Linked DNA regions of Drosophila melanogaster. The protein of the gene in region 2 interacts with the protein of the main gene of each other region in a pairwise test. Each region holds a gene or a part of one and is shown on either strand. Other genes may lie near its edges.

Region 1 (5,747 bases), on a different chromosome or scaffold from region 2:
AGGGCAGCGGAAAATAGCATTCGCCTTGAAATGCTTTTGACAGTCGATTAGATGAGCGCCCCAAATTAAAAATATCCGGGGAATTCCCGGTAGTGAAATTTCATATTAAAATGTGTCATAAGACATATTTGCCCTGGCACAGGAAAACTATTTGGCGACCCGTTAAACCGCTTTTCACCCCGTTGAATTTTACGCTCGACCCGCAAGATGGATTTGGGCAAAAATGTTCGAAGAATTTTCATCATACCCACATGAACGGCAATAAGTTGTGGCCTTGTGAGCAACTTTGAAATTCGACATACATAACTAAAAACTTTCAAGCCTGTTGATGAGTTTAGATTTTAACCAAAGTTGGCTAGTTAGCCCACTGGCAATCTTGAAACTTCCTGTCAGGGTTTCCTTGAGTGGAGCACACGCGGCGTATGCGTAACTAATTCAGGTGCTCTCGAGTGGTGAGTTTCCACAAAAGGATTTCCCCTTCCGAAAAGAGAGAAAGAGAAAGCAATCAGCTGCTGGTCCGGAACTTTCTCTGTTTTCTTTTACTATCTGGGCTTCAGAGGAAATGTTAATGTTAGTGGTGAAAAGCTGTCTCTTAAAAGAGAGAAAGCCAAAAGAAAAATCCACCCACTAAATATCAGAGCTTTAAGCGTTAAAGCTTTAATGAACATTTAGATGGCTTTTAGCGAAGGATACAATAAATAAATTTCGGTAAATTAACTTGCAAAAGCCTAGTTTTTCGAAGAAGCCTATAAACTTTTCTCAAAGCTTTTTTTTAGACCATTTTAAATGATGGTTATAAACTCGGGATTCATGAAAGAAAATCCGATAAAATCGTTCTGGTCCAAATTCATCATAAAAAGCTTGTCCGTTGGAGTTAAGTCCGTCTTCTCCTTGGTAAAGGCATCATCAAAGTTGCTTATATCCTTGCGATGTTTCTGAAATGTACCCAAGATTACAATAAAATGATTTCCTAGTGGGGCTCCTGTTTTAGCTTACAATCATTGGCTTAATAGGTGGCTCCATTTCGCATGCCTCTGCCTTATCCCAGTCCACATTCCGGAAGAAAGGATGCGTGGTAATCTCCTGTCTGGCATAGCGGCCTGCACCCAATCTATTGTTGGGCTTTTTGGTCAGGAACTTTGGAATACAAATCTATACCATTAGATTCATATGTTTTTGAAATCCAACACTTACGCTCGTTATTATATCCATGGCCTCCACGCTGAAATGCTTTGGAAACACCGCCTTCTTGTCCTTTATGTTCCTAAAGACAGTAGTTTCATCATCTCCTTCGAATGGAGCCTGACCTGCCATGAATTCGAAAAGCAATACACCAAAAGACCACCAATCAGCGGCGATGGAATACGGATCGTAGCTAACAATCTTAAATTATTTTTAAGCTGATTATTTTTACACTTATTTTTTTCGGCTGATTTACTTACTTCGGGAGCCATATAATTTGGAGTACCACAAAAGGTTCGTGTGGTCTGCCGCTCGGTAACGCCCTCTTTGCTCAATCCAAAGTCGACCAGCTTTACATGCCCCTCACCATCCAGCAAAATGTTGTCCAGCTTTAGATCTCTATAGATAATATCACGCTCGTGGAGGAAAAACAGAGCAATAGCCACTTCCACAGCGTAAAAACTAAGCACATAATATATAGAAGATTTCAAAATATGGTACTTGAATATAAATATTTGTACTCACATAGCCACAGACTCCTTGAACCTTCCATACTGCTGCATATGGTACATAAGATCTCCACCCTTACAGTACTCCATTACGAAGAATAATCGGTCCATAGTCTGGAAACATGAGTGCATGGAGACGAGGAAAGGAGGACGTCCGGATAGGGCTAGAATTTTCTTCTCATTCATTGGCAGCTCCATATCGTCCGTTTGGATAATGACATCCTTTCGCAGGACCTTCACGGCATACAGCTCATCCGTGCCACGACGCTCGGCCAGCAGGACTTTGCCAAAGGATCCCTTGCCAATAACTTTAACAAAGTTGAAATCAGCAGCTCGAATCATATCGCGTTTGCTCATATTATGCGGCATATCCTTGTTGTCCATGCGACGCTTTTCATTCGGACGACGATCGTGCTGAAAATCAGGAATATTAAATATGTGGCAAACTTGGTGAGGACATCCGCTTACCCTAACTTCATCCCTTAAGCGAGCTATATCATTAAAGGCATCCACACAGGGTATGTTATAATGTTCACCCTCCACTTGCGACAGAAACTTATACCAGCCATCAACTGGCTCCTTTTGCAGTTCCTCCAGGCTGAACGAGAACGATCCCATGAAATCATTGCGAGAAGTTCGATCCCAATCCCAAACCTCGATGAGCAAACGCTTGTCACGGTCCTGCGGCTGCAACTCACTAGGATTAAAGAAAATATGGTAAAGAGGTCTATTTAGAGGATTAGTTTTCAACTATTACAAAGTAAAAGTCTCGTTGAACACTGGATTGAGGTTTTTCTGAATGGTCTTGGTCTTCTTTTTGGTGCGCCCCGAACGGTCCGGATGCATTTGCACTGCAATATAGGGATCGCTAAACCCGTTGGTATCCATGGGAATGAGGTTAGCTGCCTCCTTAACTGCAGTATGAAAGAAACATTAATCTTTATATGGGCATATAAACTTTAAGTAATAACTTACTATCAACTTTCAAGTTATTGCCCTTAAGCTCGACGTATAGCAGTAGTTTACCCCTCACCTCGCTGATGTCCGCACCACACATCGGTGGCACTGTCTCCTGGCAGGCGTGATGCACATTTAGGTTGCAATCTGAAATATTTGGGTTAATAGCTTGAAAGCAATAGGACTCGAGTTTATTCAGGAATTTACTCTCGCACTTGACGCCCTGATGGGCGACTCCATGGAGCAGCAGTCCGCACTCGTCGCAGAATGTCGGTGTGGTGTAGGTGGTGGAAATCCAGCCGTGCTTCACCTTAGCGCAGTCGGCATCGAAGTCCGTGTCCTTGCCAGGACATTTGAACACCACAAATTTACAGCACTTCTGGTGAATGTTGAAGCGGCATTCTGCGTATGCAAATATTTTAAAAGATTTTTTAAATTGTGAACATTTCTACCTACCCTCGCACTGAAAACCTTGCTTGCCAAAGCCCCTAATCCCGGCACGAATCCGCGAATGCAACAATGCGAAACGGAAGAACAGCGAAAAAAATATAGAAAAAACAACGAAAAGTGTGTCAGCAACGAAGGCACTAATTAAATTAACGATGGGAACGCTGAGATGCCAGCAAAAACCGAAAACGAAATTTCTCACCAGATGAAATCCTTGCAATGACCGCAGTAGGTTGGATTCTTAAAGAATCTAACTCCGAAACGATGACCATTGACCATTTCGAGACCCTTTCGCTTCATCGCACCCTTCCTTAGACGATTCTTCATATAGTTGACGATATTTGCTTCGCCAGTGATCTCCAGTAGATTTCCTGGACCTTTGCCAGCTCCAGCCGCTGGAGCCTTGGCCCCTGGAGCGGCACTGGGCACCGAGGGAGGGAGCACAGTGGCCCCCGGTGTGGCAACAGCAGCCGCAGCCATTAAAAGATAATGTCAGGGAATTGGATAGCTAGTGAAGAGAAAAAGCTGACTCAGACCGTACGGTTTCAAGCCCGTCTAGAAACTGACCCGGTCGGTCAGGTGAAGACCCTAAAAGAAGCAACTTGGAAGCCAACAAAGTGCACACACAAAGTTGAAGGCAAGAAAATGACACAGAGTGATGCAAACGGGCGACAGTTTGGACTTATGCAATAGTGCATAAGACGTAATTTCATTCATAAATTTTCCAAATATGTATTTGTTCCTAGCTTATAGAAACCTCCTTATCCATATCTCATTATATTTGTGTAGACTGAATAAAAAATGTAATATAAATACAACATAATACTGCTCATACATATCAAAAAAAAACCATAAGAGAAATGTTTCAGAAAAATACCCTTCTGATTTAAAATTATTTCTGCACATGTAAAGCAGCTAAAAGAAAATAAAATATGTGTGAGTAAACACACGAATATTAAACGTTAATTATGCACATATCAAAGTGAATAATATTTTATAGCCTCTTTATTGCATGTTTTTTTAATTATTTAAAATCGGACATTTGTGGAACTATTTACCACAATTAAATTGTGCCTTTGTTAGCGTAAATCGGTGTTAAACAATTGTGTAATATTTGAGACTTTGTATGATTAATTTCTGTCAATTTCTAGGTACTTAATATATGTGTGCGCATTTTAAAAGTCAAATTTAATGCTTTTAACCATTTCATAACAATGAATGTCATGTCCAAAGCATCCTTACTACTAGTCCCTATAGATCTTACACAAGTTGCCATGCAACCATTTGCTCTATGCCTGGGTAATCAGCACTTATCCACGCTGATTCAGTTAGTTCGGCAGTTAGCCCCCATCGCAATTGTCCCCCAGGAAAAAGCACTCAACGACGTCCCGTCAATCGAACGGAGGACCGAAGAGTGAAAGCCAAGAACTCTCGTCTTTGGGCCCTTACCAGCGATAAGTGTAAACAGCTTGGGAAAGGTCAAGAAGGTGCTTACCTGGCCAGAAGACAAACATAATCATCATCGGAGCCATTGCTCCGGACAACTGCAGCTGTGACGTCAATGCAATAAAATTGGAAAAGTGGGCGAAGGGGTTTCGGAAAATGGTGATGTGCGAAAGCTTCTATGTGTGTGTGTGTGTGTATGTGTGACTATTGTCGATTGAGTATTTATACTGTGTGGCAGTTTTGATTAATTTATGCAATTGCTGGCAGGGCACGTTTTCCGTGAAAGAACCCCCCATTTAAGCGCCGCCCCTGCAAGCCAGCTGGCTTTCAGTGCAGGGCTAAAAATAGAAATAGAAAACGCAGAATTGAGCACAAAGTGCACACAGGACACAGAAGGACACGCTGGCTGGCAAGGCAAACAAAATACAAAATAAAAGCGGTTAGCTGAAATCCAAGCTGAAACAACTAAAAACGCTACCGAAAGCAGCGATGAAATGGGTTGGAAAATGCATTAAAGCGGAAATGTAGGACCTTTGTCGGGGAAAAATGCCATTAAAGCAGGTCCAAGTCAAAGTATCTAAGTATCTGCAGCGGCACGCGTATCTGTATCTCAGAAGTGCACTCAGTGAGTCGACAAATATGCACTCGCAGATTGCCCAGAACTACAGAACTGCACACCTGTCGGTTGAAAGGCATTGACAAGGGGGTTTCGGCGAGCAGAGGGAATTGCAAATAGATTTCGTTGCCGTGGCAGCTTTGGCTTTCAATTTACGTCATCATTTCCATGGCGTCGCCAAACAATTTTCCCCTCCATTTTTCCCTCTTGGCCATTTCACAAAAGCAGGCCAAGCCGCAAAGAGCCAGAGAGCCGCCTCTCAGCGTATAACACATTTTTGTTTAGCTTTACTTCCAGGTTATTTACTCTGACTTTACTTTGCATTACTTTTCTCTGGCTTCGTTTGCTTTTGGCCAAGGCTTTGTTGTTTTCCTTATTCTGTTGTTCGCCATTTCAACATTTGGCAATTCCGCTTGGCTACTTGTTAGCCGACCGTCTTGTTTTTGACCTGCGCCCTTAACACCTATTGATCTGCAGCGCACCTGTCGTGAGTTACTAGCTGTATAATGACCTTTGGACCATGGCATTTAAGATCGTTACTAGCCAAAAGCATTTGGATTGTAGTTATAGTTGAAGAAATGGCTTTAATA
Region 2 (4,699 bases):
TAAAATGAGTGGCTTGAAGGCGAAAAAATCCAGCAAGGGCGACCAAATCCCCAAGCCCATTAGCATTAAGAAGGAGAAGATCGAGGAGGAACGAAAGCTGCATCCCATGTCCCATTACATAGACGACCGCCTGGAATTGGTGAAACAGATATTTGGGACCTTAAAACCGAAAACCATTTTGAACCTAGCCCCAGAGTTTCTAAAGGTGTGTTATAGTTCTTTTTATAAAAAGCTATTTATCAATAATTTCACGCAGAAAACGCCACTAGACGAAATCGAGGAACTTTGTCTGGAGGAGTTACTCTGCTTGTCTACGAAGCGGCTAAAATCCATAATAGAAAACACCAAATGTCCCACAGACACTGAAAGCTCCGAAGATTCCGATGTGGAGCACAAAGAAGGTATGTTGAATCACTTCCTTGCCCTATAAACCCACCATTCATTATAAAGTCTCATTTCAGAACACATCTCGCTAGAGGAGATATCATCCGACAGCGACATCGGAGGTCAGGAATCCCGAAAAAGTGAGTTGGTGGCATAAGATACATTTAATTTAGAGTTTATTATCTGTGTAATCTGCACAACTGCACGCCGTAAAGTTATCCACCGTACTTAAACTTCTCGCAGGCAAAGAGCGGCGACACGTAAAATGCCCGCAGGATGCAAACATCCTCTCCTATGCCGATGACCACGTTATCCTTATCCTCTTTGCCCACCTCCAGGGTAACTACAAAGTCTCCAACCTCCAAGCAGCCCTTCTTCCTCATAAAGTCCACTCCAAACTCAATCGGACTGTAGCTGCACTCGTTGAGATCCTTGGTGTAAAGAACCGGGTGCATGTTACGGCGCAAATGAAGCGCACGAGCGAGCTCCACCTTGCAGGTAATGGTTTCCGCATCATCTGTCTCCTCCAGCGGCACCATCACATATACTGGGCAATAGATCTCAATACGCGAAAGGGCCACGCTGGCGGTCTCGCAAGTGGTGAACAAAAATATGGCTTGACACTCAATCGAGCTAATTGTGCGGATAATAAAATTCACAATGGTCTGGTATGAGGTTAGGATGCTCTTCAGTACCATCTTATTCTGGACCGCGCCAACACGATAATCTTTTATGGGCATCAGCTTTTTGACTATCAGCGGATATTTGTTGCACCATGGACTTTTTTGGATGTGAATAGCGTCGACCTTCCACAGGAAATCGTGCAACTCAAATCGCTTAAAATCACTGCAACGCTCCAGCGGAACAGTGCCAATGACTGGCTTCTTCTGGCACTGCGAAATCGGAAGCACGTCCTCCATAATGTAGTTATATACGCAACAGTTTACGTTGAACATGTCGGGTATCCAAATGTAGTCCACAAGCTTAATGATGCCTAGCAAATCAAGCATGTTACTTCGCACATACTCGAAATCTATCATTCCGATCAACTTAAGGTTGAAGTCCGAGTTCAAGGTCTGCCGCACGGCACGAAGAAAGCTCTTGCATCGTATCTTGGGCAGAACCACATAGTTGGCATTCAAAGACGCGGCCATCTCAAGGTCCTTCATGTACAGATCGGGATATAGGTCCGGATCGAGAGCGTGGCACTGTCTAGGAAGCTCTATAAAGTCGTAGGAGGCTACCAGACCGGCATCTATGATCATCACGGTTAGTGCTTCCCGCAGGGTCTTCACCACCTTACCTCTAACTTCACGTCCGATCATCACAATATCGCCCAACTGAACGGAGGCGAGATAACACCGCAGATTGATTACGTACACTATTTCTTTAAAGCCTTTGTAGCGGTAGGACTCATCCGTGGTGAGTGTGACCACCCCACCTCGTGCCAGCATCACGGTGCAGTTGTTCCTCAGTCTCCCAACGCGACAGCACTCGCCGTTAATCTCCAGAGCCAAGCCAGTTGTCAGACGTAGTTCCCTCTCTGCAGAATGCGCCGATATCGCAATGTTCATGGTGTCCAAAATGGCTTTCAGTTCATCGGGCTTGTTGCCCACCGTATCCACGTGAAAGGTGTAGGTTCCATTTTCCAGCATACGTCGCAGCTCGTCGTGAGTGGTTTCCGTCACCAGCTTGGCCACAAGACCCAAATGATAGTATCTCTTCCGTTTTCGCCGTCTGGCGTGCTTCTCGTGAGCCTCGCATGCCGCTTTGAAATCCTTTAAACGCTGCTCCAGGTCATGTTGTCCATTAAGACGCACCGTAAACTTCTCCAGACGATTCTCGTCTTCCGGCTGCTCCTCCTCCTCCCCCTGATCCTCACCTGTCTGACTGTCTAGTTGCGGCGTTACTTCTTTCTGGTTGATCGGCATCCTGGCGTGCAGTTAATTTATGTATACTTTAGCACAATTTGTAATGCAATCTGTGTCAATCTTGTCTGATTTTCAGCCAAGAAGAAGCTTAGATCCAAGAAAACGAACAATGGGAATGAAAACAAAGAGTGTAAGTACAAACTTTACGAATGTATAAAAACTAATCGAAATCGACCGAAAGTATGATAACAACAGCCATCTGAGACTGTGCGCCCGTTTGACGGCAAATTTGTTCAGGTTACTAAGGTATTCTTTTCTCCCACAGCGGGTGGTCAAATGAGCGTGCTGGAACTGTTGGAACTTCAGGCACGTGCCAGGGCCATCCGCTCCCAACTGGCAATGGAGCCAATCACCAAAATAGAGGTCAAGTCAGATGATGATATTGACGAAGTACCAGTGGAGAAAGTACAGCGAAAGGAAAAGGATAAACGCAGCACTAAAAAAACGGATTCGAGCAAGCGCAAATCGCAGGAATCAGCTAGACCAACATCTCCATCCCAGCCTGATAGCAGCAGCAAGGAGCAGGAAGCGCCCCGCAAAAGAATCAAGATCAAAAGAAACTATAGGCGGACTTCAAAGTCGCCAGAAAAGGAAGTCAAACCTCCAACATCTACTACTTCATCCGAAACTTTGGTTGCATCTAACGATTTAAACAAACTGCCACGTTCCAAATCACGTTCAGCCTCACCAGATGTGATACCTATACAAACGGAACCCGAAACACTGCTGATCAGCGACAGTACGGATGATGAGGCCACCAAAAAGAAGACAACTGAAACAACTACAACTAAGCAAGTCGAATCGGACCCACCAGCCCCAGTCGTTGAGAGCGAGCCAGAGGAGGGAGAAGTGCGCGATGAACCCGAAGAGCCAGCTAAGGTAGTTGACCCAGCCAATCCAGATGAGCCAACAGAGTCAGAAGCAGCAGCTATTTCGAAAGAACTGGAAAGTAATAAGCCAGAAGTATCGGATACGTCTGATAAGCTAGATAAAACAGGGGATAAGGAACCACCGTCGGAAGAAGCTCTCCCAGCTAATCCCCCTGCAGAGCCAAAGAAGCCGAGTGCAGCCGAGCCAACTGCCCTTGACGACGAAGATCAAAACGACGACGTCATTTCAATAGGTGGGGATCTAGAAATGATTGAGGAAATGACGAAGGATGACGATTCACCTTGGGTAAGCATTAAAAGCGAGAAAAAGGAGAAGATGCAGGATCCTGAGGAACTGGACAACGATGTCATATCCCTGGACACAAGCGAGGATGAACGCGACAAACTACAGCAGGCAGACTCCGAGGTATTTTTAAATGCTCCTCAAAACAGTACCTTTTTTTCAACACAATAATCCTTTTGTTTGTAGTCCTGGCGTTCACGCTACATGAAGAGCTCCAAGGTCAGCCAGGTGCTGGCCGAATCGCGTTTGGGAAAACGCGTCCGTGACAAGCTCAAGAAATCGAAGCGCACCAAAGTCACCGCCGGCGAGGAGCAGGCCAAGGTTGAAAAGCCGGATTCATTTACTTCCAAGCATGAAGACGGATCCATAGAGCAATACCAGGAGCTTCTGCAGCACCGACAGCGTAAAACTTCAAACAGTAGCAAGGGGGATAAATAAGTTTAGCCGCTAAGGGCGGGATTTATTGAAAAGTCGCGTACTGACGCACGGCCCTAGTTTATATGGCATATAAAAAGTCAAATAAAAATTTGCTGTCCTCGGGGGCGGAAGGCAACAAAAAATTTGAATATATCGTGCTAAGCGGATATTTAATTTCTTATTCGTCTTTTCGATACTCTATTCGTGTAGAGTAAGTATACGTTGTGTAGAAGTAGTTGCTTTTTATAAATATAATTTTAAGCCATCGTTTTTAGTTTGAGTAACAAGCCGTGTAAGGGTTGAAAAAGCCGTGTAACGCAGTTTTTGGATTTAGTATTTATTTAAATTGAATTCATATATATTACTTAAAAAGATTTATTTATGTATTCGATGCGTCGACATGTTTATTTGTAGTTTTCAGCTATGTTTTGTAGTTTAAAAGAAAATGCGATAACTGTGCTTTTTTGTTTAAGAAGAGTTTGCGTGAGCTGAGCAGCCTGGAATAGGCAGTTAAACGAGCCGCACGAAGGTTACGCTTGTGCATTGATATTACTTGTCATAAACAAGCTAAAAAATCATTGGGTACGCATTTAAATGGAAGGGTTTTGGTTTAACCCAGTTTCGGCTTCCCACCCGTTTTTCTATACATGTAAGGGATTCAGCTCCACCCGCCGCTTTATCATCGACTTTGCTCAATTTCTAATCATGCGGTTGCAGAACATGTCCACACCACTCTACACTTGAGTCTACTCCCACCACTTTTCACTGTTCTCCTTGCTATTCCACTCGACTCG

The links.
Region 1: the proteins of CG12229 (region 2) and inaC interact in a two-hybrid assay, tested with the Drosophila melanogaster proteins (one large-scale study listed by BioGRID).

What each region holds. Positions count from the first base shown.
Region 1 is NT_033778.4:16,896,473-16,902,219, reverse strand, and holds inaC (inactivation no afterpotential C), read right to left. Parts: upstream 3,686-5,747; 5' UTR 3,576-3,685; coding exon 3,298-3,575; intron 3,137-3,297; coding exon 3,105-3,136; intron 3,051-3,104; coding exon 2,856-3,050; intron 2,796-2,855; coding exon 2,667-2,795; intron 2,606-2,666; coding exon 2,449-2,605; intron 2,389-2,448; coding exon 2,160-2,388; intron 2,106-2,159; coding exon 1,708-2,105; intron 1,645-1,707; coding exon 1,443-1,644; intron 1,384-1,442; coding exon 1,195-1,383; intron 1,138-1,194; coding exon 997-1,137; intron 936-996; coding exon 783-935; 3' UTR 645-782; downstream 1-644. UniProt on the Drosophila melanogaster protein: This is a calcium-activated, phospholipid-dependent, serine- and threonine-specific enzyme. This isozyme is a negative regulator of the visual transduction cascade and has been shown to be required for photoreceptor cell inactivation and light adaptation.
Region 2 is NT_037436.4:17,433,933-17,438,631, forward strand, and holds CG12229 (uncharacterized protein), read right to left. Parts: upstream 2,500-4,699; 5' UTR 2,446-2,499; coding exon of another isoform or gene 2,392-2,445; 5' UTR 2,316-2,391; coding exon 600-2,315; 3' UTR 540-599; downstream 1-539. Other genes in the region: CG32176 (uncharacterized protein), read left to right, coding at 5-205, 257-401, 462-524, 2,392-2,445, 2,581-3,611, 3,675-3,926.